3 linked regions of the Cricetulus griseus genome follow. The protein of the gene in region 2 purifies or fractionates together with the protein of the main gene of each other region. This does not show direct contact. Links are inferred from orthologs where the notes say so. Each region holds a gene or a part of one and is shown on either strand. Other genes may lie near its edges. The genes, in order: Erbb2, Cd44 and Fgfr1.

The links.
Region 1: the proteins of Cd44 (region 2) and Erbb2 purify together in Homo sapiens (affinity purification with western blotting; 3 studies listed by BioGRID and IntAct, with this or other methods). This does not show direct contact. The link is inferred for Cricetulus griseus from reciprocal best matches to the Homo sapiens genes CD44 and ERBB2.
Region 3: the proteins of Cd44 (region 2) and Fgfr1 purify together in Homo sapiens (affinity purification with mass spectrometry; 3 studies listed by BioGRID and IntAct, counting the BioPlex papers as one, with this or other methods). This does not show direct contact. The link is inferred for Cricetulus griseus from reciprocal best matches to the Homo sapiens genes CD44 and FGFR1.

Annotation. Positions count from the first base shown.
Region 1 is NC_048600.1:111,557,488-111,561,130, reverse strand, and holds part of Erbb2 (receptor tyrosine-protein kinase erbB-2), read right to left. Parts: intron 3,543-3,643; coding exon 3,404-3,542; intron 3,321-3,403; coding exon 3,198-3,320; intron 3,017-3,197; coding exon 2,918-3,016; intron 2,693-2,917; coding exon 2,507-2,692; intron 2,371-2,506; coding exon 2,215-2,370; intron 2,096-2,214; coding exon 2,020-2,095; intron 1,791-2,019; coding exon 1,644-1,790; intron 1,261-1,643; coding exon 1,163-1,260; intron 969-1,162; coding exon 780-968; intron 551-779; coding exon 298-550; intron 168-297; coding exon 1-167. UniProt on the Homo sapiens protein: Protein tyrosine kinase that is part of several cell surface receptor complexes, but that apparently needs a coreceptor for ligand binding. Essential component of a neuregulin-receptor complex, although neuregulins do not interact with it alone.
Region 2 is NC_048599.1:74,762,662-74,767,026, reverse strand, and holds the start of Cd44 (CD44 antigen), read right to left. Parts: upstream 2,847-4,365; 5' UTR 2,612-2,846; coding exon 2,539-2,611; intron 1-2,538. UniProt on the Homo sapiens protein: Cell-surface receptor that plays a role in cell-cell interactions, cell adhesion and migration, helping them to sense and respond to changes in the tissue microenvironment.
Region 3 is NW_023276807.1:58,202,549-58,206,280, forward strand, and holds the end of Fgfr1 (fibroblast growth factor receptor 1), read right to left. Parts: coding exon 3,702-3,732; intron 3,372-3,701; coding exon 3,234-3,371; intron 2,944-3,233; coding exon 2,838-2,943; intron 2,734-2,837; coding exon 2,557-2,733; 3' UTR 580-2,556; downstream 1-579. UniProt on the Homo sapiens protein: Tyrosine-protein kinase that acts as a cell-surface receptor for fibroblast growth factors and plays an essential role in the regulation of embryonic development, cell proliferation, differentiation and migration.

The sequences.
Region 1 (3,643 bases), on a different chromosome or scaffold from region 2:
GTTTTCCACAGCACCCCCAAAGGCAAAAGCGTCTTTGACAACCCCATTCTTCCCAGGAGAGAGAGTCTTGGGTCTTTCTAGAGTAGCACCAGAAGGCCGCACAGGAGGCAGAGGGCCCTCGGGGGCCAAGGGAGGCTGAGGCCGCACCTCTGGCTGGTTCACATATTCTGCAGGAGAGAAGAAGAACTGTTAGGGAAAGGAAACGGGATTTCCCTGCCCCACCATTACCTCTCAGTGGGTGTAGCCTGAGGGGTCTCAACTCCCCTCCTCCCAGTCTCTCAGGCCTGGATTCCATACCGGGCTGGGGGCTGCAGGCCAGGGGAGCAACGTAGCCGTCAGTCTCGGTGGGCGGGGGTAACGTGGGATCCTCGCTGTACCGCTGTAGAGGGCTGAGGTCATGTGGAGAGATGCTCTGCGGCCCTTTGCTAACCCCCATTCCCAGTTCACCATCAAACACATCGGAGCCAGCCCCTTCCGAGGGAGCCAGTGGAGACCTGGGGGGCTCTTCTTCTGAGGGCTCCAGGCCCAGTGTCAGCTCGCCTCCTCCACTCTGGAGTAAGAGAGGGTCATGATGGAAGTTACTCAAAGATCTGGGAGGGGACCTTGGGGGGGAAATGACAGGGTCCCAGGAGGAAAAACACAGGTCACCTTGGAATCATTATGGAGGCAATGGAGTCCCAAGGGTTGGAAGGCAGTAATGGTAATGGGATCTTAAGGAAGTGTGAATGTGGGGGAGCAGTCAAGGGAAGGGACCCTGGTGTTCTAAGATGGGCACTGACCCTGGTGGATGAGCTGCGGTGCCTCCGGTGGGCTGTGCTCCCGGTGCCTGGGGCAGGGTCTGGGCAGAAGAACCCCTGCTGGGGGACCAGATACTCTTCCGCATCCACCAGGTCCCCCATGTCCTCATCCTCCAGCAGTGAACGGTAAAAGGTACTGTCCAAGGGGCTGGACGGGCCCAAGTCCTCATTCTAGGGAGGAAGGAGACACAAAGTGACAGCCCTTCCCCAGCCTAGCGTTAGTTCCCAAGAAAGGTTCACCAAGCTTAGACTAAAGGTGGGGGCTGGCTGGGCTGGGGGACTTGGCATCCAGGTGTGCCCTCCCTCTCCTGTCTGCAGGAGGGAGGACACTGTTAGGGTAGGGATGAGGTCAGAAGGCCCAGTACCTGGATGACCACAAAGCGCTGGGGGTCCCTCGCCATGCGGGAGAATTCTGACACCAACTCCCGGAATCTCGGGCGACATTCAGAATCTATCATCCAACCTACGGTGAGAGAGAGCTCAGCATCCTTGTCCCAGGACCAGGCTCAGGACCAGCTGTGCAGCCCCTTCCTGCTCCTCTTCAGTCTGGCCTAGACAACCCTGGCTGAGCCCAAAGTCCTCACATAGCAGAGGAGCACAAGTGGACCCTGGATCCTGAGCCAGAGCCCTGGAGCATTTTTCCTAGTTTCCCCTTTAAGCTGGCCTCTCTCCTCTAGACAGCCGTTGTCCCGAGCAGCTAGGACATCTACTGTGAATGGGATGAAGCACCTTTCGAGGTTCCTTCAAGGACACCCGAGGCCATTCACATCTCACTCCCGCCCCCCCCACACACAGGTCAGACCACCCTTCCGCTACACCTGAGGTTCGGCCCCTCCCACCACGCACATTTGACCATAATCATGTAGACATCGATAGTGCAGATTGGAGGCTGAGGCAAGCGTTCTCCCTTCTCCAGCAAGTCAGGTATCTCCCGGGCTGGGATCCCATCATAAGGTTTGGCCCCAAAAGTCATCAGCTCCCACACAGTCACACCTAAGACAGACAGGCATCAGGAGTTGGGGGAACAGGATCCTTAGATGCGCATACAAGGGGAGAGGCTGTGCCAAAAGGTAGCATCGGCCTGGTCGCTTCATACTCCAGGTGGGCACAGACCCCCACAGGCTGGACATCAGCCACCCCCCATCTCCACCCTCATTTCTGTACCCATATCCCACCCTGCCATGGCTTCTATCCAGCCCTCCCCATCACCATCTCCACACACCATAGCTCCACACGTCACTCTGATGGGTGAACCGCCGTCGAAGAATGGATTCCAATGCCATCCATTTGATGGGCACCTGGGAACGCAGAGCAAAAAATCCTGAATGGGTGTGGTAGGGAGGTGACCCTTCTCAAAGCTCTCCCAATGGGCGGATACCACCCCACCCACCTCACCCCAACCCCGCCCTCCTCCAACCTTGCCCCCATCTGCATGGTACTCTGTCTCATCAATGTCCAGCAGCCGTGCCAGCCCGAAGTCTGTAATCTTGACGTGGTTGGGACTCTTGACCAGCACATTCCGGGCAGCCAGGTCCCTGTGCACGAGCCGTACATCCTCCAGGTAGCTCATCCCCTGAAAAATGGGCATCAGTGTGGAACCTGAGTCTGTATCTCACCTTATCGGCATTCCCCATCCTTTTCTGGCCCCAAATGAGGGTAGGGACTTGCACCCAAAGGACCTGCAGAGTCAGAAGCCCCCAAGCACATACCTTGGCAATCTGAACACACCAGTTGAGCAGGTCCTGGGAGCCCAGGCGACCTCGATGTTCTCGGACATGGTCCAGAAGGCAGCCATAGGGCATGAGCTGTGTTACCAGCTGCACTGTGGATGTCAGGCAGATGCCCAGGAGGCGGGACACATACGGAGAACCCACACCAGCCATCACATATGCTTCCTGCAGGCAAGCATACACTGAGGGATACAGGAAACCACCTACTCCCTCCCACCCACCATACTCCCCTCCTGGAGACCCGCCCCCATCCCTGCAGGGCCTGCAGACCAGGAAGAGTAAGAATCAAGGTTTAGGACCTCCATCCCAAACCCTCATCAAGAGAAGGCAGCCCAGGTCTACAGCTAGGGGGCGTCTCACAAGTCCCAGTGGAGAAGGTGACCGGCTTACATCTAGGATTTCTTTGTTAGCTTTAGGGGATGTGTTTTCCCTCAACACCTTGATGGCCACGGGGATTTTCACATTCTCCCCATCTGGGATCCAGATGCCCTGAGCAGAAAGAAATGGGCTTGAATCAGGCCTGTGGTCCAGATCCTGCTGGTCCCCAAGAAGTCACTGATGAGCAGCCTTCCCCACCCTCCAGCCTGGTCCAGTCCTCTGTCTTGACCATGCTCCTCAGGCACAGCCCCTCCTCCAGATCCACTCATGCCAGAGCCTGGTCCCTCCTGACCTTGTAGACAGTGCCGAAAGCTCCGGACCCAAGCACCTTCACCTTCCTTAGCTCAGTCTCTTTTAGGATCCGCATCTGAGCCTGGTTGGGCATGGCTCCGCTGGGCGTCAGCGGCTCCACTAGCTGGAGTGAGAGGGTGGCGTGGTGAGTGCCAAGCAAGCTACAGATGGGGGGTGCGGCGCTAGGAGGCCCTCACGGCACCTCACCTCAGTTTCCTGCAGCAGCCTACGCATTGTATACTTTCGGATCTTCTGCCGTCTTCTCTTGATTAGGATTCCAACAACCACCCCTATGACCAGGAACAACAGGATACCCACCACGGTTGCGATGATGGACGTCGCTGGGCTGAAAGCAGAGCCCAGAATCAGAGATTAGGACTAGTCTCGGGAGGAAATTTGAAGAGACCCCATGAAGGGACAGGAATGTGCCTTGGCTCAAAAATATCA
Region 2 (4,365 bases):
AAGTTGGCAGAAAATAGAAACTTTTTCCCTCAGCTGCCAGAGTCCCCAGCACATCAGCTCATCACTACTTTGGAAGGAAGTAGATGTCCTATGTGAGCAGGGGAATAACAGAATGAATCAAGTCTAACTTCAGTGGGGATGGATCTCACGTCCTTATTTCTTCACATGGGAAGACTCAGCCAGGACCCTAACTGCTAATGGAAAGAAGTATCCAGAATGCTCTGAGTGAGCAGAGAGACACCTTCGGCTCCCGAGCCCCAAGATTCTCAAATGCACCCCTCTTTCTCAACAATGGAAATGCAATTTCCTAGCAATGTTCTCTGGCCATGGAGGAAAGGACATGAGCACATGGAGGCTCATTCCCTTCTGTCCAGGGTCCCTTTCTCCTGCATTGCACAGAGTACCTAGGGTCGCTGGGCTACCTCAGAACATGTTTCTACTTTTTGACTTCTGATATAACACTGGACAGTTTCTTCTGTCACTCCGCCCCTGCCCAGCAAAACTTTTGCCCAATCTCATAGCTTCTTCATCTCCTAAAACCAGTCACTACCAGAATGGGGCAACTCGGATGCCTCTCTTCTCTGCCCCGCCCTTTCTCCTCAGGCTCTGCCCACCCAGACCCACATCCTCTAAGTCACATCTCATTTCCGAGTCTCGGTTCCTTTGCAACAGTTTTACAAGGGCATGAAAACCAGGCAGGCACTACTAGGGGCCCTCTGCCCTGCCTCTCCTGGTGCCACAAGATACAACAGGAAGGTGAAAACCCCAAGGCAGGAGAGAGCTTGCTGGTCTCTAGGACCTGACTCCCAGGGAGCACAAGGGATCCAAAAGACCTGGGAGTAGGCTTTTTTGAACAGCCGGAAGACAATCTAGGAAAACACAGAAGCTCAGCTTCTCAGCCACAGCAAAAGGTGTGGATGTCCAACCTTTCTCCTCTCCTTGGACTCTAGGTCCAGGCCTCTCCCTGCCCTTCTCCCACCCATCCTGACTGTTTCTGACCTCCAAGGGCCCCTTGGAGCTCTGATTCCCTTTGAAAGCTTCCTCTGTAGCTTTAGCGGGCCAGAATGCCTCTTTCCCTGAAGTCTTTTGGCTTTGTCCGGAACATGTGTTCAGATATTCCATGACAGTCTAAGCTATGGAATTTAATGAACCTGAGTTCATACCCAGCACCACTCCTTGCTGTGTGAATATGAGGAGTTACCTAACCTCTCTGAGCCTGTTTCCCTACCAAAAAAGCAAACAAACAAAGAAACAAAAAACTTGATACCTGAACACTTCTCACCAAATCACCAGGAGGATAAAATGTGATAGCATATGTGAAATACCTAACATCGATCCTGGCACAGCAAAAGGGTACAAATAAACGGCCAATAGAGTCATGTTGCTATTCTTCTTATTATTTGTATTACTTCTGCATCAGAATTCAAAACTTATGATCTCTACCTGGCATACCTAAAATCCCCATGTTGGCCACCCCCTCCCAAAAAAAAACCTGGGTTTAATAAATTCTTGCTGAGAGGAACTCACTGTAGGCTGAGCTGACTTAACCTAGCTGACACTTCTTTAAAAAAAAATTAACTGTGCTGGTGCTAAACAAAGGGTTCATGGAATTATCTGTTCATATATAGACAAAGGAAGGGAATGCTTGGAATTGAGCCATACTGAACACCTGACCCCAGCTCCTCCCCTCCACAGCCACCAAAGTCACCAACTTCATTTAGATGGGATGTTAAGGTCTCTGCACTAAAGTTCGTGTGTTACCCTGATACAGGTCCCCTCTTACTCTGAAGCTGCCAGGCATCGAATATGAGCCGTGTTGCTTTTTGATTTTGCCAAGACTGGCAGAACCAGGGGACCATAGCGTTAGACAGCTGGTCAAATCATTGCTTCTGTTATGTGCCCTCCTTGGCCCAGGCTGGAACCTCTTGGGCTCTCAGAGCCTGAACACAGCGCCGGTTCAAGTTCCCACAAACTAAAGCAGTTGGTGACCAAAGCAGACTGTAAAAGCCCTCAAAATCAATCTAAGCCGAGGTTCTCTGTCTTTAGTTTTCTGGGGCTCCTTTCTGAAAAGCTCATTGCAGGCTCTCTGACTTACAACTCTGTGGCCACCTTAAGGACTACTCTAGAGATCTCCGCTACTGCTCTGCCCCAGTCCCTGGCTCTGCCCTGTCACCCACGACAAGCCTGGCCCTGCTTGCGGAGCCCTTGGGCACCCGAGCCTGTTAGTCCGGACACCGGCTGCGTGTCCAAGAGTACAGTTACTTTTGCGCCATGTGCTCCGGCAAGCGCCAGCGACCTCGCCCAAAATCTGCGGCGGGCAACCTGCCCAGCCAACTTTCTTCTCCCTTTCTCTTTTCCTTTCACCAAAGCGGCGCATCCCAAGAAGCAACCCTCAAAAACTGTGTAGCCTCAAAACCCAGCTTTGCTTTGCTGAGCCCACTTCACTTTATTTCCTCCCCGGGGGTCAGCCCAGGGGCCGTTCTGCTGGAGTGAGCACTCTGCGTTCACATCCCCGCTGCCCAGGCTAGGGCCACTCACCGATCTGCTGTTGCGCCAGGCTCAGCGGCAAGAGGCAGAGTCCCCAAGCTGCGTGCCACCAAAACTTGTCCATGGTGTGCGGGATAGAACCCAGGAATCTAGTCGCCTCTTAAAGAGGGTCGCAGGGAGCTGGGGCAAGGAGGATGGATGGAACCTGTCACAGGCTGGGGGCCGCTAGGCAATGAGGCCGCCTCGGAAGTTGGCTGCCGTTTTTATTCCAGGCTTTGAAAGAGTGACCTAAGAGGGAGGGAGCGCGCGAAGGACACACCCAAAGCGAGGGGGCTGTGACTAGGCAGCCAACGGAGGTTTAAAGATACACCAGTCTGCTTTCGCTGCTGACTCGGAGACCCTGCCCTACTCTCCCGGGCAGCTGAGAATTGCTGCCGCCCCTGTCTGCCCACCTCCCACCCCCAGGCCACTCCACAGGTTTCCTTCTCTGGCCAGCCCTCCTGCCTTTGGGGATCATTGCCTGGGGCAAGGAGAATGACTGAGTCCTGTGACCTCACCCCTCTGAGTTCAGCCTCAGGTCTCTCCTTTGCCGCTAAACTTCTGGGAACCTGGCTGGAGAATGACTGTCTAGGTTTCCCAGGAAGCTGGATGTCTCCTAGGGAGGAGCTGAGACAAGAGGGAGACCCTGCTGGGAGAGAGGACAGTGCCTTCCAAGCCAGGGTGGATTTGAAAAGTGGGGAATTTGTGGGAGTGCCCACTCGTCTTTCCCTCTGAGAGAAGTTCAAAATTCTCAGTGGCTCTTTGCTCAGGGAAACCTAGCGATGACCAGTTATGGGGATCATATCTGACCCCTTGGGGGTCATATTGGACTCTACAAGTCCATGCTGACAACCTCCCATGCCAGGAGGCTGTCTGTCCTTCCACCCACCCACAAACACACTTCATTCATGATCTCAAATTAACTAATTAACCTACCAGTTCCTTAAATCCTTCTGGGATTCCCCCATTCCCCTGTCTTCCTTCATATGCACTAACCTAGTCATACCCCATCCATCACCAAGCCTTCCATTTATCTATAGCACAACTTTTCATCCAGCATCCCATAAATCCCAAGCTCACCTCCCTCCGCCGTCTTCCCCACCCATCCCCCAACATGCTGATGCTTGTACACGGTCCCGTTCCATCATTTTGTCCAGCTTCATATCCACTTACACATTTGTCACTTCTTTCTTGTTTGCATTTATGCCCTCTTTGCTGCAAACTTTAATACACTGCCATTTATTTCTTCCCTGAGAAATCTCAAAGAGGGGTGCGCATTGCCATATCCTTCAAGGGAAATATTTCAGGGCTTTTCGAAAGCAGGGGGAAATCGTATTTTAAATCACAATTCCCTATCTTCTCTAATACCCTGTGAGTCACAATTAGGACATCAAAAGCAGTGTTTATTTTTAATGTGAACTACTGAAAGTGAATCTGAAGTGAACATCTTTGCTGAATGAGATGCATGGAAAACATGCCTGTGGCAGGACCCTGAAAAAATCATAGCAGAATTTCTGAGGGAAAGTAATATTTTGGGATTCATTGAAATAAACTGAAAAGGTGAGAGAAATGCACCCAGCCACCTGTCCATCCATTTATTCATAAAACATGTAATGAGTGCCCAAGGGTATCAAGATAAGCCAAACCTTGTTTGTCTCCAGGCACTGGTTTACAGTCACAAGCCAGCTGCTGCTTACAATATGAAATGTACTGTAAAATAGAGGCAGGCCTGGAAAGATGGCTCAGTGGTAAAGTGCTTACCACCAAGCATGTGACCCAAGTTCAATCCTTGGAACTCACATGGTGACTCATGCAAATAGTCCTCTACCCTTTACATGC
Region 3 (3,732 bases), on a different chromosome or scaffold from region 2:
CCACCTCTAACATGCACCTGGAGTGACACTAGACACAGCTCACACCTTACACAGGAGTCTGCCATAATAGTTGTTGGTGGCATTTTATTTAATAGTATCACCCAGCACTTGTAACAGGTCTAATTCTGCACAAGCCATATTGGTCACGTCCAGAGTTTTAGAATACTAAATCCAGGCCAAGGATTCCAAATGGAAGGTAGGTCTGTTACTTCAGAGCAAAGTGGCCCACTACCTAATATGGTGGGGGGATTTTAGGTTGCTGGCTCCACCCGGTGGCAGCTGATAGACAGACTTCATTACCATTAAGGCACATTTCTTACTTCATCTATGCTCAATCTTACTTACCTGAAATCAATATATTACATTAACAGAGCCAAGGGACTGATGATCTCTAGCCTCTGGCAATTAGAAAGGATTGAAAGGCAGTATTGATTGATGCCTTGGCCATATTTTAACCCCCAGGAAACCAGACAGATGCAGTACTTTGACAGCACATCTTCATTATATAAGCTGGATTCCCTTTCCCAAGAGACTCAATCTGGTCACCTAAGTAAAATAGCCATTTCATTTTCTTTCAGGTCAATTTCACTATGTTTTATTTGATAGCCATCCCTGCCTCAGGGGATATTTGTGGGCAATTTGAATAGCAACAGCAAGGACTTCAGTGCCTTATATACCCTAGCACCTTTCCTTGAGTCATACAAAGCACTCCGTAGATTCTCCTCCCATCCATCCACACAGCATTGAGTCAAGCAGCGCTGAGGCAGAAATTATGGTCACTGTTTTAACAAGGAAAACGACACTATGATATGGTCTCTAAGCAGATGATTCTGAGCTAAAATTCATTCCCTGGTCCTCTTCGCCGAATTATACCTTTCAGCACAAGAAAACACTTGTAATACTTTGATAGTTACAGGTTTACAGAGGGAAACAATGATAACAACTCTATGATGATGACCAAAACCACAGCCACCAAAAACACCCCGTTCAGAATGTATTTAAAGAGGCAGCCCTAACCCCTGCAGGATGAGGCCATATTGAATTGTCTTGTATTCCCCAGTGACCCAGCAGTAAGCACTAAGAATAGAGCGGCGCTGGTCTGAGTAAGATGATAAGGTGCCTCCTGAAGAGGACAATAACCACCAGCAGGTGGCAGGAGTAAGTCTCCAAGCAGACCCAAACCAAAGAAGATTGTTTTTCCTTTCCTGAGGGGTGGGTGGAGTTTGTACAGGAAAAACTACAAACCAAGATCAGGGATAGTCACAACAAATGCAACCTGGTAACAGGACTCAGGAAGGGCAGGATAGGAATGGGAAAGGAAATGGAGAGTAGGTTGGTTAAGACAAGACTAGCTTTGCATCTCTCATAGATGCAAAGGCGCACCCACACAGGGTTTGGGCTTTGAGTCTCTGTATGGTTTGTTCTACCGTTGGCTAGTCTCATCTCCTCTGAGGAAACAATCTATGATCAGAGGGAACAAGCTCTTAGTCTTGGTTCTCTGCCCTCCGTTACTTTGGTCTTCTTTCCCTGTCTTTCCCAAATCATCAGAGATAGAAGGGTCTGGGAGGTCAGGGAAATATAGAAATCACACAGTGCCAACAGCTCATGGCCCCTTAGTCCCTGTCTCCCTCTTTTGCAGGGGACATCTGCTCCCTTTTCACACGCCCAGGATAAAAATGAAGCAGCAGCAATTTTTATTGAGGGACCTAAACTGAAAATAGGTCTAAAACATAATTTAAAAAAATAAAACAGCAAAAGTAGCAAAAAATATATGACCTTTTAAAAAACATTTTCCTTTTTTTTTTTTTGTTTTTGTTTTTGTTTTTAATATATAGCAATGGATGCCTCCCAGCCACCAGGAGCATCTCACCCAACGGGTAAATCTCTAGTAACGGCCCTTTTAAAAAGACATGTAAATATATACTCAGATTTATACACTTTGTGTTTTCTTCATAGCTATGTACAGAGCCCCGAGTCTAGGGCTCAGCCCCAGGGCCACATCGCTGCCCCCGATCTCTGCCTCACTCTCTTCTGGTACCAGGTATTTGGTCAGCAAAGCAAATTAGTATTGGAATTAAGAAGCCACTGATACCCCCCATCTGAAGCAGAGACTGCCTTCAGTTAAGGCCCGAACAGAAACAAACCCCATTGCTTCAGTAGCCACAAGGCTGCTGCCACCAGAACACAGGAGGCCAATGAGTCAACCAGAACACTCCAGAGAGCTCTTGCTTGCACACCTGTTCCACTTGCTTCTACTCCCCAGGCCTCCAAGGAGTACCAGGCAGCAGGATGGGTCTTGGTCCAACACCTGGGAAGGAGGAAGTGGCTACCAGCAAGTACCTGCCTCTTGACTCCCTTCTCACATGGCCGGTTGAGAAGAGGAAGAGGGATCTGGGGCGGGGTGGGGAGTGACGATGGGGTAGGCCTCACAGGAAGGCCTCAGGTACACACTGGCTCTTGCCAGCAGCAAAGGAGAAGGGGAAAGGCAGTGTGTCCCGCAGGGAATTACGGGTGAGGGGCACAGGTGACGACGAAATTGGGGAAAGGCCGGGGAAGTCAGCGTCTTTTGAGTCCACCATTGGCAAGCTGGGTCGGGTGTCGGGGCAGACAGGGTTCCTCAGGCAACGGCTCATGAGAGAAGACAGAGTCCTCCCCTGAAGAGCAGGTAGAGCTCCGTGTGTCGGGAAAGCTGGGAGAGTACTGGTCCAGAGGCATCGACAGGTCCAGATATTCCTGTGACAGAAGGAAAGGATAGATGGCACACAAACCTTCTTATGGCAGGGTCCCCTTAGTGCCTATGTGATGACCGCTCAAGTTTCAGCCCAGAGTAGCTCTACCTGGTTGGAGGTCAAGGCCACAATGCGGTCCAGGTCTTCCACCAGCTGCTTGAAAGTGGGCCTCTGAGAGGGTACTGCGTGCCAGCAGTCCCGCATCATCATGTACCTGAAGCAGGACAGTGAGGTCAAAGATGGAAGGCAACAGCAGAGCTGGGCCAGAGGGCAGGGGCGGCATGACTCGGGAGGCTGCTCCCTCCAAACACACAGTTTCATTATCTGCCCTCCATGCTCCCACTTCCTTCAGAGCCCGAGGACTTCAAGAACCTCCCATGAGCCGCCACCTAAGGAGCCCTTCCTGATTTCCTCAACATATGACCCAGCTTGCCAGCGGTGGATTCAATGGTGCCAACTACCAGCAGGCCTTCCCCCACAGTCTTTCCCCCAATTCATGCTTACAGCTCATTGGTACAGTTAGTGGGCTTGTCCATCCGATGACCCTCCTTCAGCAGCTTGAAGAGCTCTTCCACAGGCACACCAGGGTATGGGGAGCCACCCAGAGTGAAGATCTCCCACAAGAGCACCCCAAAAGACCACCTACAGGAGAACATGGTGCCACTGTGACTTACGGCACAGGGCCAGGCTGCCCTAGGGTTTCTTTTCTATGTCCTCTTGAGAAGTCAGCAGGGCAGGTGCTCATCTTGAACCTCTCCACCCCCAGCACAGCCCTTAAGTTCAGGAGACAGGGCACAGGAGACAAGGGGGCAGCAAGGGGCAATGCAAAAAAAAGGCTGAAACATGTTCACGGGACAAGACATTGCCCTTCCCCACCCAATGATGGAAAGAAATTCTCAGCAGTCTAGAGATGCAAGACTGCTAGTATTCTTTCCCCAGCATATCCCGGGTAATTGTGTATTTCAAACTCACACGTCACTCTGGTGGGTGTAGATCCGGTCAA